Linked DNA regions of Schizosaccharomyces pombe. The gene in region 1 interacts genetically with each later gene. Each region holds a gene or a part of one and is shown in the gene's direction. Other genes may lie near its edges.

What was found.
Region 2: mutations in alg6 (region 1) and pmr1 impair growth when combined (synthetic growth defect), as found in Schizosaccharomyces pombe (one large-scale study listed by BioGRID).

What each region holds. Positions count from the first base shown.
Region 1 is NC_003423.3:4,198,661-4,203,710, reverse strand, and holds alg6 (glucosyltransferase Alg6), read left to right. Parts: upstream 1-1,840; 5' UTR 1,841-2,008; coding exon 2,009-3,204; intron 3,205-3,252; coding exon 3,253-3,376; intron 3,377-3,434; coding exon 3,435-3,635; 3' UTR 3,636-3,963; downstream 3,964-5,050. Other genes in the region: glutaminyl--tRNA(Gln) ligase Qrs1, read right to left, coding at 1-294; Rho-type GTPase-activating protein Rga1, read right to left, coding at 3,964-5,050. UniProt on the Schizosaccharomyces pombe protein: Probable dolichyl pyrophosphate Man9GlcNAc2 alpha-1,3-glucosyltransferase that operates in the biosynthetic pathway of dolichol-linked oligosaccharides, the glycan precursors employed in protein asparagine (N)-glycosylation.
Region 2 is NC_003423.3:239,338-245,505, reverse strand, and holds pmr1 (P-type calcium transport ATPase Pmr1), read left to right. Parts: upstream 1-1,863; 5' UTR 1,864-2,436; coding exon 2,437-5,136; 3' UTR 5,137-5,668; downstream 5,669-6,168. Other genes in the region: ubiquitin-like protein modifier Hub1, read left to right, coding at 555-571, 642-743, 793-895; autophagy-associated protein Atg2, read left to right, coding at 5,993-6,168. UniProt on the Schizosaccharomyces pombe protein: Transports calcium and manganese ions into the cell. Regulates cell morphogenesis through control of manganese and calcium homeostasis.

The sequences.
Region 1 (5,050 bases):
AATAGCCGCATTGACTTGGAGGTTTGTTTTTAAGTCTCCAGATACAATTTTGGAAGCTATGAATGCCTCATGAGCATTGGATTTCGGGTCTTTTTGTTTTAAAGAAGCGTTGGCCAATGTAAATAGCAAATTTCCAATTGTTCTATCACATCCCGAAGAACCAACGTTAGTTTCCTCAATGACCTTATTTAATGAAGAAGAAAGCTTTTTATTTTTTAACGTATCTTTTACCGTTGTTTCATTTAATCCTATTTTTGTAAACTTGGCACGTAACTCCTCATAATCCTGGTCCATTTTAGTATAATAAAACTTCCCTCCAAAAAATGTATAAGTATTGCAATAACAGCAAACGCGATGAAAAATGAGAGGGTACGGTTAAGTTTTTAATAAAGCTGTTATTATCTTTCAATTCATGTGATAAGCTCCTATCATTGCGTTAATCTGCATAACAGCGGAGTAGGGAACTAATCTTAAAAATCGTTAAGTTAATAAAAGTAGTTTCAGTATTAAATTAAAATTTAAAACATTTTGTTTACGGTTTGAAAATTAAAACAGGAATTCACACTTTTGCGCTTTTGAGATATTTTTAATTTTTTTTAAAAAAATAGAGAACGCAAAATGCTTTCCGAATCTTTGTTTTTTTCCTTTAAATGAATAGTTGTTTATCGGTTCTAAGCTCTTGCCTAGTAAGGCTTTTTTGCTTTCACTTTAATACTCAAGGGAGGATGATTCTTTATTGCTATAAAAGTTTAGATTTTAAAAACAGCATCAACCACTGTAGTGTACAAATGAATTTCATTTGCCCGCCAAGCAGTTAGTATGTTTTTATTCATTCAATCTGGTATCTCTTCTCAAACGAATGTACTTTTGGGTATTTTAATTAAATTTAATCTAATTAGGTTTTAAATTTTCATAAAATATATAAATAACTATTTGTGAGTCCTTGAAAATATTTCATTTAGCTTAAGCATAAATATTGAAATTATTCTGAAGAGTAAACAATATACAAACAATGCGAGAATGCAAATAATGTTAGTAACTATACAACTTCAGTTTCTATTTCAAATCGTTTTACAAAAAATTAAACTAAACATATGATTAGTAAATATCGCTTAAAATTATACAAATAATGGAGATTTCACAGTGTTCCATCAACGCAAAAAGAAAATATTAGGATAATGCTTGCTTTTACTTAAAACTGTAACAGACCAAGAAATAATTTTACAATATTATTATGAATTCTGGTTTTAAAAGCATGATTTTTCGTCAAACCGTCGCTTTTTTTTTTAGCCCAACAAGGGTTTTCTTTAGAAATTATCATGAACGAAAAGACTTTTAAAATTTCAAAGCTCTTAATTGCAGCTACAAATTCGAGATCAATTACATAGTAAATGTATTAAGGGAATTATTTTTCTTAGCATGTTCTTTGCTAATAAGATTTTCGTTAGAGCTAAATTATTAAACAGCAAACAATTAAGTAATATATTTCAGTTCATTGAATTTAATGGGCTAGTATCACTGAAACAAACTCCTAACTTGCCAAGCTCAATTTATTCTAACATTTACCTATCTTAAGAGAAAAGTAAATCAGTCAATAAGTGATACAGCTTAATTTTCATGTTTATCAACTCATTTTTTATGTTATTGCTCACCCTTGGATCAATTATGTAGTGATAACTTTGCGCGTATTTAATTTTTAGGCTTTGAAACTGAAAATAAAAAATAAGAAAGAAAGAATGAATTAAAAAGTGAATTGATTTTTTTGGACATTATAAAACCATATTTCACGATGATCGCAATGGTGGACCCATAGTCCACTTCGTGGTTCCCAACCCATTTCACTGTTATCCCAACTTGTATCTGCTTTGAATTAGCTTTTCCTTGTTTAAAACATTCCGGATACAAATTCACTCGTTTTTTAATCTTTAAGCTTTCCAAGTTGGATATTTTAATTTAGAAACCCAAAGTTTTAAAGCGAAATCCTTACCGTTTGACGGCCGCTTAAAACATGCTATCTGAGTTTGAGAATGGGGCTCCCGTTCAACAATTCGTTTCTCGTTTTCGATCCTATTCATCTAAATTTTTATTTTTTCCATGCCTTATAATGAGTTTAGTTTTCATGCAATGGCTTATATCTATCGGTCCTTATTCTGGGTATAATACACCTCCTATGTATGGCGATTTTGAAGCGCAAAGACATTGGATGGAACTAACATTGCATACTCCTGTGTCTCAATGGTATTTTAGAGATTTGCAATGGTGGGGATTAGATTATCCTCCTTTAACAGCATATGTTTCTTGGTTCTTTGGTATAATTGGGCATTATTTTTTCAACCCCGAATGGTTTGCTGATGTCACATCTCGTGGATTTGAAAGTCTTGAATTAAAATTATTCATGAGATCTACTGTTATTGCATCTCATCTTCTAATACTCGTTCCCCCTTTAATGTTTTACTCCAAATGGTGGTCGCGCCGTATACCTAATTTTGTGGACAGAAATGCTAGCCTAATTATGGTCCTTTTTCAACCTGCTTTACTCTTAATTGATCATGGTCATTTTCAGTACAACTGTGTTATGCTGGGTTTAGTTATGTATGCAATCGCTAATTTGCTTAAAAACCAATATGTAGCTGCTACGTTTTTTTTCTGTTTAGCTCTTACGTTTAAACAGATGGCTCTATATTTTGCTCCTCCTATTTTTTTTTACTTATTGGGAACTTGTGTAAAGCCAAAGATTCGTTTCTCAAGATTTATCTTGTTGTCAGTCACAGTTGTTTTTACGTTTTCCTTAATATTATTTCCATGGATTTACATGGACTATAAAACATTGCTTCCTCAAATTCTTCATCGAGTGTTCCCGTTTGCTCGTGGTCTTTGGGAAGATAAAGTTGCTAATTTCTGGTGCACCCTCAACACTGTTTTCAAAATTAGAGAGGTGTTTACTTTACATCAACTCCAAGTAATTAGCTTGATTTTTACTCTCATTTCTATTCTCCCATCTTGTGTTATATTATTTCTTTATCCTCGTAAACGTCTTTTAGCTCTGGGTTTCGCAAGTGCATCATGGGGGTTTTTTTTGTTCTCTTTCCAAGTTCATGAAAAGTCGGTTCTTCTTCCTTTACTTCCCACTTCTATTCTCTTATGTCACGGAAACATTACAACCAAACCATGGATTGCTCTAGCAAACAATCTTGCTGTTTTCAGGTAAAATATACATATTTACTGTTTAAATTATACTAATATTTTTATTAGCTTATGGCCGTTACTGAAAAAAGATGGTCTTGGTTTACAATACTTCACATTAGTATTAATGTGGAATTGGATTGGTGACATGGTAGTTTTCTCAAAAAACGTCCTTTTTCGGTTCATCCAACTGGTAAGACTATTTTTATTATTTGCTATTTTTTTATGCCAGGTGTATTAACTGGATGCAGTCTTTTTATGTTGGTATGATTGTTATTTTGGGAATTGATCTGTTTATCCCACCACCATCCCGTTACCCCGATTTATGGGTCATTCTTAATGTTACGCTTTCATTTGCCGGATTTTTTACTATTTACTTATGGACTCTTGGTCGCTTGCTACACATTTCAAGTAAACTTTCTACTGATTTGCGTAACAAAAAAGAAGCATAAATTGAACAAAATGATTTTATGTTACATTATTACGCGGAAAAATCAACATATAGTAAAGGATTTTATTAAAACAATTCTGGGAGAAGGATTGTTATTCATGACTTCAAATATTAAACGAAAGTTATATTTGCCTGAAATATTATTTTAGCCAAGTAACCTTTTATTAAAAGAACGATTATTAAAGTACCATCATCCCATCGAATTCAACACGACAAAGTTGTAAGCGGTACCAGACCGAGCTTTCTACTTTCGTAGCTGATCTAATGTTCAGTAAAAATTGAAAATATGATAAAACAAAAAAAGACAAATGGGATTGTGTATCGATAAATTAGGAATCCCTAATGACTGCATGCTGAGGTTTAACTTGAGGTTTAGGCTGAGCATCGCTGTTAGGTGAAGCTTCATCTTTAGTGGTAGATGAAAGCGAATTTGTGTCAGCAACTTCAGAACCAGAAGGCACGTCTGACGTTAAATTAGTTGTAACTCTTCTTATAGGTTGCCTTTTCCTCTTTGTAGACGCCGTATGTTTTGGAGTATTCCGTTCGTCAAGACTCATCTGAGAAATTATTTCTTCACACCTTTTATATAGTTCTTTAGATGTCCAAGCCGCATTATTATAAAAAAGAGTAGGATCATCTAATAAAAGACTAATTTCTCGAGGGACTTCACAAAATTTCTCAAAGTTCTCAATCAACAGATGAACAGCCTCGATGGCAAGGAAACTTTCGTCAACAGGATCGTTGCTTTTGGAATATAATATGTTCGGAGTAATTACGGTAGCAAGATTATGAATATCCATTTTGCTTCCCACCTCATCATCGATGTGGGAAAAAGAGGCAACCCAATATAGAAAGCCAAAAATTACCTCCATAGTGTCTCTATGTCCCTTGGGTAGTAAACATATTGTAAGATGCAAAACCCTCATGCGTTCTTCCTCAGACTCCAACTTTGAAGACGTAATGAACAACCCAAATAACTTGAAAGTTAAAAGAGGATCAGGAAGCTCTCTAAGGAATTTTTTCAATAAAGCAGCCAACTGAATGGGTGTTTCTTGCTCATAATCAATTGAATCCGGAGAAACATCGAGCATGTCAGATAGCTCTTTTAACCTACGTATATTTCCGTTCTTTCTAAATACACCAACTACTGACATATCTTTTCTTTTCATAGCAGCCAATGTATTCCCAATAAAGGCAGGAATATGCTTGACACCCACGCCTGTTCCAACCGTCGACTGAGCGTTATTACGCTCAACAAGAATCTCCAATGGCACCCCAAAGGTACCTTTCTTTTTCACGTTCTTTTTTTCGGCATCTTTCCCCTTGAAAGCCTTTCCAAATTTTTCCCAGAAACCACCTTTGCGCAAATCGCTCATTTCCATCAATTCATCAAGTGAATAATAATCCCGTACAAGA
Region 2 (6,168 bases), 4.0 Mb from region 1:
GAAGAATGCAAATCTTATGAGCAAGGCTCATACCTAATAGGAATTAGTAAGACCCAGCAAACCGGAGCGAACGCCTTTCGTAAGTACTCTAAAGTTCTTTATTTATGTATAGTGCGAAAGAAGGCAATCTTACAATAGGTTATTATTAGTCGCTATTTAGTAAACATCTAAAATGGCTGAAATCTAATATAGGACACATTCGATTAAAAGGAATTAATTGAAATATTGATAATTTGAATTTCAAATAAAAAATCACAAATACTCAGAATACTTATAAGGGGCCATTCATACGCTCGCATCAAATTATGTTGCTGATGCAATTGATACTTCACAAAGGTACTCAACGAGTATAGATTAAATGGATTTATAGTGGATTCTATACAATGAAACACATAAAACAATAACATGCACTACTGAATTCATTCTTATAAAATTCACCGGCAGGAAAACTAACGCACTTTCCTGACGTTAACGATTATTAACGAGACTAAAGTTAAATAACATTTAATGAAGACAAACTGGTAACTAAACTCTCCATTACTTTTGCATTCAATATGATCGAAGTTTTATGGTATGTTTGACTTATTTTACTTTCTGGGAGCATTGAAATTGGAAAACATAAAGCTCTAACTAAATTTTAGTAACGATCGTCTAGGGAAAAAAGTACGCGTAAAATGTATGCCTGATGACACAGTTGGAGATTTTAAAAAACTTGTTGCAGCTCAGACCGGTACAGATCCAAGGTAAGGATTAAATTCATCATTTGTTAAAAAAATGTTAACAAAAAAATAGAAGGATCGTCTTAAAAAAATGGCACAGCGTCTTTAAGGATAACATCACATTAGCCGACTATGAAATACACGATGGAATGAGCTTGGAGATGTATTATTCTTAAAAAGCGAAACTTTTATTTTCTTAAAAAATAATATACTTGGAAGTTTTATGTTAACGAAAGTAGCAAATTGACTTTAAACTTGTTTAATGAAAATCTGATGGATAGAGTTATATTGTTGAGCAGATTTGTTAAGTTTTTTACAAAGGAAATTTGGTTTATTATTTTCAATTTTTTTCAATTCACCTTCGAAGGTTTTGTATTTACCTGTTCAAACTACTAAATAAATAATGATTTTTCGTTGAAATGCTATCTTTTTGAGTCTAATAATTTGGATACTTTTTTATCTTTCAAATTGCTTACCTCCCCAAATTGTGATATAAGTCAGCTAGACAATGATAATAATATTGTTTTCTAGCTGCCATATCAATAGTTGTTCATCAAGCCTTTTACGCTTCTAGTCAAGTGTAACCGCTTTAAAAATGGAAACCAGTATGTTTATTCTTAATATGAATGGATTTTTCAAATTCAAATTTACCATTAAATTTACAAGGCTTATATCTTGTCATGGGTAGGACCAATTTCCTAGGTTCATGACCGTTTATGAAATTATGTCTTCAATGCTTCGTATTTATTCATCATACCAAGGAAGATGAAACAAATTATCAAGGAAAAGAGGGATTCCGAATTATATTAGTATAAAGCTTTATAATGTTACGCCACTGTTTTATTTCTTAGCCCTGCTTTCTTCTGAATGTAATATTTTTTTTTTTTTTTAAGAAAATAATTCTTTGAAACAGGTTTTAAACATTTTTAGTAATGATGAAACTCAATTGACCTGCTTTTCAAAAAATCAGAAAATTCATTAACATGAAAAAATTTCAGATATGTATTGGTTACCAAAAAATCATCTACGGGAGTATTCAATTTTTTTAAAACTATTCTCTGAATTGATTATACTTCTTTTACATTTTGGAGTTGTAATAGCTTGACTCAGAAGTATCTGCTAAGCCTCCATCTTTACTCAAGCTAACCTTTCCCAACTTGTCATCCAGACGATCACCTTCGTTGGTCTAAGCTTACCAGTCTAAAAGGTCGAAACAAAAGTACTGCTTTATTCTTTGAGAATATAAACAAGTGTTGTTCAAAGTTCTAAGCCAGGATTTGCGTTTTTGTATGCTGGGTCTGTTGGTATTTAACCAGAGACGTGCTAGGTTCATAAGTCCGATTTTCTAGGACTTTCTTTTGAAACGTTCTAACAGTGAGCTTGGACAGTTTATAAATTCTTTTTTTATTTCTCACGGGTTCCTTTCAACATTTCTTTGGATTTTATGAGTGATAAGTGGATATTGTTCATTGTCTAGATTAATTGTTGGTAAATTCATCTATCTCTTAATTTTCAACATTGGAAAGTATATTCTTTGTGCTGAGCATTTAGGAATCCTTTACATCTTAAATACTTGCTTTTATACTGGCGTTTTAGAAAGTATCGAATAGCAGTGTCTTTTTTTTTTTTTTGTTTACAAGATTTTTTATTTTTACATTACCCCAACTTTCTTTTACTACTTTTTCTCGTTTTTGTTTTTGTATGAAACAGTTCCATAATGAGTGTTCAATATGATGCATTCAGTGTTGAGCAAACTTGTGCGGATTTAGAAACTGACATGTATAATGGCCTCTCTAGTCTCCAGGAGATCACGCGACGTAACAAGGTTCATGGAGATAATGATTTGAAGGTAGAAGATGAAGAAAACATGGTGGTTCAATTTCTTAAGCAATTTGTTAAAGATCCCCTAATTCTTTTGCTTTTTGCAAGTTCTGCAATTTCGGTGACATTGGGTAATATAGATGATGCTATTAGCATCGCTTTAGCTATAGTTATTGTCGTGACTGTTGGATTTGTTCAAGAGTATCGATCTGAGCAATCTTTAAAGGCGCTGAATAACCTTGTACCTCATTATTGCAATGTTATCCGGTCCGGAAAAACGGAGCATATTGTTGCTAGTAAATTGGTTCCTGGAGATTTAGTTATCTTACAAATTGGTGATCGTGTTCCTGCTGATCTGCGAATCGTTGAAGCTACCGAGTTGGAAATTGATGAATCAAATCTAACAGGGGAAAACTCGCCACGAAAGAAGAGTAGCGAAGCTATATCTTCAAACATATCTCTTACTGAAAGAAATAACATAGCTTTTATGGGTACCCTCGTTCGTCATGGTCATGGGAGAGGAATAGTTGTCGCTACTGGATCTGATACGGAATTCGGTCGTGTTTTCCTTACTATGCAGCAAACTGAAAAACCAAAGACGCCATTGCAGAACAGTATGGATGACTTAGGCAAGCAACTCTCTTTAATCTCTTTAATTGGTATTGCCGTCATTGTGCTTGTTGGTTTTTTCCAAGGTAAAAATTGGTTAGAAATGCTTACAATTGGAGTTAGTTTGGCTGTCGCCGCTATTCCTGAAGGTCTTCCAATTATCGTAACAGTCACCCTTGCTTTAGGCGTGTTACGCATGTCTAAGAAGAGGGCTATTATCCGTCGGTTACCCAGTGTTGAAACTTTGGGAAGTGTTAACGTTATTTGTTCGGACAAGACTGGTACTCTAACAATGAACCATATGACAGTTACTAAAATTTATACATGTGGAATGTTAGCAGCTTTCTCCTTACCAGAAAGTGAACATATAGAGCTAAGTGTTAGGCGCACTGTTGGTATCGAAAAGGCACTTCTAGCTGCTGCTTTATGCAACAATAGTAAAGTTCATAACAAAGCTGATTCTATTTTGGACACTACTTGTCCCTGGGCTGGATTTCCAGTTGATGTCGCTTTAATCGAATGTTCTGAGCGATTCGGGTTGAAGGATCCTCGTGAAACGTACAGTCGTATATCTGAGGTTTCATTTAGCAGTGAGCGCAAATACATGTCTGTTGCTGTCCAATACAACTCTAGCAAAATGAATTTCATGAAGGGAGCCACTGAACAAGTGCTGTCAAGTTGTGCATATTTTAGCGATCAGGATGGTGTTCAACACGAGCTTACTGCGGAAATGAAGGAGAACATTCAACGTAACGAGTTTGAAATGGCTGCTTCGGGACTCAGAATTATAGCTGTTGCCAGTGGTATAAATACCAATAAACTTGTATTTCATGGTCTTTTTGGCATCAACGATCCCCCTCGACCCCAAGTCCGCGAAAGTGTACAATATCTAATGACTGGAGGGGTTCGAGTTATTATGATTACAGGTGATAGCGTTGTTACTGCAATAAGCATCGCTAGAAGTTTGGGTATGGCTATTCCTAGTAATGACGAAGAAGCAATTCGTAACTATGCGCTGACTGGAGCTCAGTTAGATGATCTTGATTCTTCCTCTTTACGTGATGCCGTTTCCCGTGTAGTAGTCTTTGCAAGAACTACACCTCAACATAAAATGAAAATTGTTGAAGCCCTTCAAAGCCTTGGTGATGTTGTGGCTATGACTGGTGATGGCGTAAACGATGCACCTGCCCTCAAACTTGCAGACATTGGTATAGCAATGGGTCGACAAGGTACGGATGTTGCCAAAGAAGCGGCTGATATGATTCTTACCGATGATTCTTTTGCGACTATTTTGAGTGCTGTTGAGGAAGGTAAGGGAATATTCAATAACATTAAAAATTTCATTACTTTCCAATTGTCTACGAGTGTGGCTGCTCTTTCATTAATCGCCATTTCGTCTGTTTTCGGCTTCCAAAATCCCCTCAATGCCATGCAAATTCTTTGGATCAATATTCTAATGGATGGACCCCCTGCACAAAGTCTCGGAGTAGAGTCAGTTGATGAAGACGTGATGATGAAACCTCCTCGTCCAAGGAATGCTCCTATTATATCAGTTCAGCTTTTACAACGTGTTTTACTCAGTGCATTTATAATAGTTACTGTCACTATTGTGGTATTTAGAGTACAAATGCAAGACGGCAATGTAACAGCTAGAGATACTACTATGACTTTTACTTGTTTTGTTTTCTTCGATATGTTTAATGCTTTAGCATGTCGTTCCGAAACAAAATCGGTTTTCAAGCTTGGTATTTTCTCTAATAGAATGTTCAATATCGCAGTCGGAGGCTCATTAATTGGTCAAGCCTTGGTAGTTTATGCTTCCCCCTTTCAGCGTATTTTTCAAACTGAAGCTATTGGACTTAAAGATGTTCTAATATTGTTAGCTTGTACCAGTTCTGTTCTCTGGGTTGACGAAATTCGCAAATGGTATCGTCGCCGTAAAGGTCTTGTTAGAACAAAGAGCAATTATCTGCTAAGGAATGTATAAATGATACGTTTTGCGGTAACAAGTTGCATATCTTTGTGCTAAGTTTAAAATTACTTAAGGAGCTTTACTATTATTTTGTGAATACAAAATTCCAATGCTATATGTATTTAAAAAATTCCTGTATTTTATTAATTTTTTGACTAATGATTATTAGCTTTCCGCTGGTTTCTTATTCTTATGGCACAAAAGGGGTTTGCTTCTCTGCCATGAAGTACTCGAGTCTATACCATTCGTTTAAAAGCTTTCATCGTTACTTTTCATTTCAGTTTTTTTTTTCGAAAATCCTGTATCTTGGTTAATTTTCAAGCACTTAGTATGTTCAGGCTTTATTATTCATCACCTTGATGCAGTCCTCACTGGTTAGTCTTAAAACCAAATTATATGATTTTATTCTGACTAAAGGTTAATCTAAAACATATTAGTTGTAGTTTCTATATAGAAACAAATAATAAAGGCTTATCAAAATTAAAGGTTTTAAAATCGGTTGTCGCTTTTCATCATTTAATTAATGCAAAAGAAAAATTATACGAGATTAAACAGCCGCGTTGCTCTAAATTGTTTTTGTATCATTATATCTTGTGCTGTTTCAAAGTCAGTTTATACATGTTTATTGAACAGTTGATTCATGTGACCGACTCGCCTTAAGTAATTTTTCTTGTCATTAACGTTTGGTCTTCAATGAGTAAATTTTCCATTCATTAGATTGTCACAAGATGTTGGCATTATTGTTTTTATTTCGTGTACATCAACGCTATCGTCGCATATTTGTCGTCCCACTACCAAAATCTGAATGAGGCAAATAAGTGTGAGATAGACACAAATTTGAACCCGAAATTCAATTAAGCAAAGGAGGATGATGAGGTTACCCTCATGGCTTAAAAATTCTTCCTCTTGGCTCTGGACGGCGGCGTTATCAAGGACTGTTCAACGTCGACTATTAGCATTTGCCTTGAGAAAGCTTATTGGATCCATTCTTTTAGAAAATGTGCAGCCTGAGGATATAGACATCCTTTTTTCAAAAGGGGTCCTAAT